Sus scrofa: one gene and its partner. The protein of the gene in region 2 binds, or shares a complex with, the protein of the main gene of each other region. Links are inferred from orthologs where the notes say so. Each region holds a gene or a part of one and is shown on either strand. Other genes may lie near its edges.

Evidence for each region.
Region 1: RALGAPA1 (region 2) and RALGAPB share a complex: the UniProt entries of both Homo sapiens proteins name them as parts of the heterodimeric RalGAP1 complex. The link is inferred for Sus scrofa from reciprocal best matches to the Homo sapiens genes RALGAPA1 and RALGAPB.

The regions. Positions count from the first base shown.
Region 1 is NC_010459.5:41,549,272-41,553,101, reverse strand, and holds part of RALGAPB (ral GTPase-activating protein subunit beta), read right to left. Parts: intron 3,207-3,830; coding exon 3,171-3,206; intron 1,962-3,170; coding exon 1,760-1,961; intron 1-1,759. UniProt on the Homo sapiens protein: Non-catalytic subunit of the heterodimeric RalGAP1 and RalGAP2 complexes which act as GTPase activators for the Ras-like small GTPases RALA and RALB.
Region 2 is NC_010449.5:64,370,533-64,373,466, forward strand, and holds the end of RALGAPA1 (ral GTPase-activating protein subunit alpha-1), read left to right. Parts: exon of another isoform or gene 1-825; coding exon 826-974; 3' UTR 975-2,151; downstream 2,152-2,934. UniProt on the Homo sapiens protein: Catalytic subunit of the heterodimeric RalGAP1 complex which acts as a GTPase activator for the Ras-like small GTPases RALA and RALB.

The DNA of each region.
Region 1 (3,830 bases), on a different chromosome or scaffold from region 2:
GAGCCATTTCAATCTATCTTCTCTCTCTAGAACTCAACTAAAACCATGTTACAGCAAATAACCAATGGCCTCTCAATTGCTAAATCCAGAAGACATGCCTAAGTCTTAACTTATTCTGCCTTTTTAAAGCATTCAATCCTCCCTTCAGTTCTCTAAGCTATCTCTTCAACTAACCTGGTTTTAAACACTACTTAAGCCAGTCTCTAGGTCCAGATCTATCAGTCAAAAGCATACTGGACACCTGAGGACAGGACATGCCTATGGATGATACTCTAGTATTTCCTGAGCACAGTGCCTGACACAAAGTAGGAACTTAATAAATATTTGTTGATAAATATCCCACAGGCACCTCAAATTCAATAGGCTCAATACTAAGTTCATCCTTGGCCCCCTCACAAATCTGTTGTTTTGGTTGATCATACTACCAACCATCCAGTTGTATGGGCCAGATGGAAGGCTCATGGTCACAGCCCTCTCCCTTACAGCTATTGATACTGTTTGGAGTATAGTCCCAATCCATCGTCTCCCTCCTAAGAAATGTGCCCCCACCATAAGGGATGCCAGTATCCAATATGACCCGGCTTCACAGCAGCAGCTGATTAGACCAGAGGTAGACAGCTGATTAATCAGATCTCTTTCCCAGGAATCTGAAATTAGGATTCAGAATGCTAAAATTGGCCCTGCTGGTCACCTATACCAAGGCCATGGAAATTAGGAACTTAGAAGCATGTTGCAATGTAAGAAAGTGGTCTGCAGATAAGAGAAAATGAAGCAGTTCTGGGAGGCCATGATGACAGAGAAACAGAAAAGAAGAAAGTTGTTTTGGTCCTTGAACATTTTCTAGCCCCTGGTTTCTGCCCTTCATGAAAACTTGCTGCATGTCCTGACTTTAGAGGGTCACAGACACTTGAATGTTTTGATTGACATTAGCATCACTTTAGCAGCTGTGTGAATGATCCGTTGAGAAAGGCAAAACAGAGGCAAGGAAAACAGGAGGCCACTACAAGTTAATTTAGGGAAAACGTGACAAGGCCTGAAGTGTCATGGTGGGGACAGAGTGGAGAGATTATAAAGAGGGTTAAGTAGCAGAGTTGGCTGACCAACTAAAGATACAGAGGGAGACTAGAGAAGCCTAAAATGATTCCTAGTTTCTGGCATAAGCAACTTAATGAATGGCAGAGCCATTCAAAAAGATTGAAGTCACAGATTTGGATAGATGACCCTACCCAACTTGCTACCATAGTCTAAACACCAGTCAACTTCTCTAAGTCCAACACAATCATCCAATCCTCTGTAACTCTTTTCTGAATCCCCAGGGGAAACGTATGCTGCTTCTTCCTGTGCCTCTCTCCTACCAACTTCCTATTGCTCTTGGATCAGTGTTACCTGGGTACACGGCTTTACTCACTTGAAAAAATAAGCATTCTGGACCATCCATATTGTCTAATACTGTGGTAAAAATGTATTAAAAATTTAGTGTGGCCCTTCCAAATCTCTTCATAATTAATAAAAGTCAAATAAGATGAAATAAATAATTCTCCTAAAATAAAAAGGTTGTTAAGGGTCTTCAACAAATCTCATTAGGTAAAAAAGGAAGAATTCAAGCAAAAATGTCGATTACTTACATACATTTGCAGGTATTTCAAACCAACATTTTACTTATCAATTCAGCCTACTACTTCAGCCATGCTACAATAGGGTTTCACTATCACAACTATATAAATGGAAAAATAAACAAACAAACAAAAAAAACTAAGACCTGGATAAATAAGCTGGCAGAATCTCTTCTCCAGTCTTCTTGCTACAAAAAATCCTACACAGTGTCCCACAAGCCTCAGCTCTTCCTGCTTCATAGTTATCAGGAAATTCACTTGCATCAAACATGGGATTGGAAACCATGGTGTCTGTGGACATTTGTGACCCTTTTCGTCGAAACTCCATGCTAGCTTGTGTTGTAATGGCTGGGGAGAAAAAAGGAGGAGTTTTATTATATTTGTTGATATGCAAATAGGCTCATGGGACCCTGGACACAAAGATCAAATGTTGATGTCATTTAATAGCTACTTGAATAGAATCCAATAATGCTTTTGTTCAGCAACTATGTCTTTAATTTTTTTTTTTTAAAAAAGGGCTCTCTGAAATCTACCTTGAAAAGGGGTAACAATTTACAGTGGTATTGTCAGTTTAATAGATTCTACAAGAAGCATTTTTCAACTGAATTTTTGATTGAGTACATTTGCATATATCTGTATTCCTATACATACAGATATATAACACAGAATTTGGCTTTTCTATTTTTTATTCTCAGGTTTTTTTCCTCTCCCTATTAAACAATAAGAAAAACAGCTACTGCAATTTACACATTACCCCAGACATTGCAACTGAATGGGCAATTCCATGCCAGGTTGTAAACTTCAGGGAGAGGGCAAGGTAAGGATAAGAAATGGGTAGGGAGGAAGAGAGAACATTCCCACCACCCACCCAACTCCAAAACACACACCAAAGAATCGCCCAACCAAGCAAAATGAGAATGAATTTTAACAACCACAGACAGCAGCTAACTTGAGGTTGATAAATCAGAAAACTGGATTGGTAAGAAATATTTCGCTGTCACTGAAACAGAAGCCCTTCGAAAGTTGCTTTTATTTTTAACAAAAGATTTCACAGTGAATTGAAAATCACTCTGAAATCTTTTATCACTCTACATGAAATGTTTAAATTATTTTGTAATATTAGATTTAACAGAATGCAGAGTCAAGCATAAATCTTTATGCAACTTCCCATGAGCCATTTTTAGCCCTGAATAAAAGCTATCCAGCAATAATACAATTGAAAAACACTACATGCAGAATGCATACAAATCAAACACTAAATCTGTATAAAAATAAGCTTAAAGCTTTAAATTAAAAAAAAAAAAAAAAAAGCCAAAACACAGTTAGTGCAAAATCCTGGAATTCATGACATGACCAGACTAGTGTACAAAAATAATGGGACTGATTCAGGCAGATTAATTTGCTTTTGCCAACAATCTTCCCCATTCAAAACACAGAATATTTCTCTTCCCAAGTGCAAAAACTACAAGAGACAATGACAATCAAAATTTTTAATGGAATTATGAAAAAAATAAAAACATGACTGCAATTAAGGAGAAGCTTCTGGTTCCTACTTACAAGATTTATAAGAAAGAAGAATTTGGATAAAAGATGCTGCAAGATAATAGAAATAAATGGAAACAAATCAAAGGACAGCAGTAATTATAAAATACTTTAAAGATGGTGAAATTTTACAATACGTTAAGAAGCTTTTTAGCTTTTTAAAAGTTAAATTAAAAGCTTTATGATACCACAAGCTAGTTCAAAAACAGGAAATTGTGCATTCAGATCCAAAATTATGATTTTTGTATCATGCAAAACAATGAACAAAGAAAATTACACAACTACAAAGAATTGAGGTTTTGAAGTGCCCAGAACGTGCATTAAAATTTTAGTTCATTAACCCTTCCCAGCTCAATGTTACACTTACAAAGCATAGTGTACTGTTATATAAATCTAAAGCTAACCAGTTCAGAGAAGCAAACATTTTAAGTTAGAGGTGAACTACATGGCAGAATTCCTTGATGGCAGCCAGTACTTAGAAAACAGACTAGGAGTTCCCGTCATGGCTCAGCAGGACTAGCATCCATGAGGACTCGGGTTCGATCCCTGGCCTTGCTCAGTGGGTTGTTGATCCACTGTGGCTGTGGCTGTGGCGTAGGTCGCAGACTCGGCTTGGATCCCACGTTGCTGTGACTCTGGAGTAGGCCGGAGGCTACAGCTCCAATTTAACCCCTA
Region 2 (2,934 bases):
TTTTGAAGGGTTTTTATTTTTATTTCTTATTCACGAAATATTTGAGAACCTACAATGTGCAAAGTTCTGTAGTATTGCTGTAGAGAATCATAACTCATAGAAATAAAGTACATAGGGGAAGAGCTATGTAAATGACGTGAAGAATTTTCCAATTTGAACTCGTTTTGCTTCTTTAAAATTTTTATATCTACTAAAGTTAAGAAAACGAAAGCATTGCCTATTGCTTCTGAATTGAGACACTTTGAGAGGTCAGTTTGTCTTTTTCGACTGACTTTCGGAAGAGAGTTCTTGTCCTCCTCCCTCCCCCCGGGAATTTATCTTGCTCCTTCTTAAAAGCATAAATTTAAATACTTAGCATGTATAATGGTCTCATACCGTTAAGTTCCTTTTTGAAAATGTTCGATGCTGTTTTATTTTCAAGTTGGAACAATGAAGGCCTTTTTCTTGATGATACCCTAAACCCGAGAGATAGGAATTGGTCCTTTTCACCTGCTTCTTAAGCCCTTCCACGCATGCTGATGGTACTTTGGATCCCTGTCCTTTCTGTCCCAAAGATTTTGCTTCCCGTTGCTTTTTCCAAGGAGCTGGCTCTGGAAATAATGTTTGGTGGTTTCTTGCTAATCTGATGACATGAGCCACCAGAGCACTGGGTTTTAAATAAAATATTAGTAGACTGTTTTAACAAGCAAGTTTGGGGATTGCTCTTTCCTCTCAAAAGACCTCGTTAAGGGTTGGACCCTTGCTGCATCTGTGTAGCACAAAGGTTGTTTCTTATGGGAGGAGAGACTGGATGACTTGTATTGATGCTCTTGCTATTTCCCACAGGCTCCTACCCAGAGATTCTACCCAGTGAAACTCCCACAGCAACGCAGGTAGATGGGGCTGACCTGGCCTCTCCAATGTCTCCTCGAACTAGCAAAAGCCGCATGTCCATGAAGCTGCGTCGTTCCTCTGGTTCAGCCAATAAATCCTAAGGAGACAGCAGCCCAGCAGTGGCCAGCAGTAGCCACCTTAGCATGCACACAGCATTAACCCTTTCCAGCTTCGTGTTTGCCATAACATGCATGTTCCTTCCTGAACATTTATTTTAGAAAACACTGGATTTAAATAATTTGTAACTTAATATTTTAGATTTGGATTGTTTATTCAGTTGTTTTTCCCACACACACACTCCAAGCTGCCATAAGGGGGAGAGGGGTGGAATTTTATTCTGCACCCTTTTCCTTCCCTAGATAATTATGTCTAAGTAGTTTTAATTTTATAATTAACTTTGAGCCAAAATATAACTGGCCAGATAGTCTCATTATTTTATTTATCTTGCCCCATTGCAACTTTATGGCTCAGTAAATATATAATTTTTTATAAATGTGCATCTTTAAATTTAAACATTTGTAAAGTTATAGCAAAGGTTACAGATCTGTTAATACACAGGATGTGTATGGATTATTTATGTTACGAAAATAAAACACTTAAATGGTTTTTTGAAGCATCTCGAATTCCAGCTGAAATAATTTTAGCATTAACTTTTTCTTCCCGAACCAATATCTCATTTCTTGGCTGTGCAGGCAATGCCATGACACATCTAATAATCAGAAAAATCACTGTGCTGAACTTTGATTCATGTTTAGCTTCCAAATATTTTTCTAATGTTCTGCTTTTTAAATGGTATCACTGTTAAATGCCATTTCTGTTTTGAGATTGTGGCCCCTTATTATTGGCTGCTGGATCCTGGTGTATCTGTGTTCTTCCTTAAGTATCAAAAAGGGAGGAATTGGGGGTGGGGCAAAAGAAGACTTTCTGATATAAAGTCTGTGGCTTAAATTATGTGTAGTACTTTAAAAAAAAAAAAAAAGAACATAACCCAGGAGTCTAAATTAATCTGATGTTGTTAATACTGAATTTGCAGTCACAGGTTGGTATACATTCCACCCACCAGAAGTATTTTCCTACAGTAGATAAGCTGCTCACATTTTGTTTTGAACAGGCATCTCCTAAGGAAATGTAGCATGACATTGATACTAACTGCATGTGTAAATACATCATACTGCAAACTATAAAATATAAATTATGTATCATCATTCATGTAGTATCTACAAATTTGTAACAGTGGAAAAAAAGATGGTATTTAATAATACAATAAAAATATTCTTCTCATTTCCTGTCCATGAGTATTGATTTGTCCTTGTATTTCTTTTGTCTTTTATATATTTTCAGACTTAATAAACAAGGCTTCGTGATTGATGGAGAGATATAAAACATAAACCTAGCTAATCGTGAAAAGTGAATTTTAATTACCTTCTTAAGCTACACCCCAATTTATTTCTCAGAGGTCTTCCACAGTCATTAAAAACACATTTTACACGTTCATACGAGCTAGCCAGAAACTACCCCCCACCCAGTGCACTTGGTTAAAAACATCAATTTATCTCACCCTCATGCTTCTTTGATTTCTTAAATTTTACTTTTTTTTTGTAATAGACACTAAAGAGCAAAACTTTTTACAGACAGTTTCTAAAACAAGCTTTCAGAGTTCCTGTGCTCTTTAAATTTGGGGTTTTCTTATAAATAAAAAATGCATATGAAACTAAAGAAAATAAACTAGAATTTCCCATAAAAGCTTATATAGAGGATAAACATGTATAGAGTCCCCAGGAACAAGAGTAAACAATATGGACAGTTTCCCACAACCAAGGTGAAGAATTACAAAAAGAAGGTAATTTTTAAAAAAGATAAAGTAACTACTTACACATTTTCAATAGTGCCTTCATTTTTAAAAAATGAACAGCTATTGGATTGATAATGTGTAACAAAATGGAGTGAAAGTACCAGCTTAAAATAATGAAGTTAGCATAGTTAACATTTTGTTCATCTTCAGATAACACTTCATAAAAGAAGAAAATATTTAAAATTATTTTCTGTTGGTATTTTTGGATA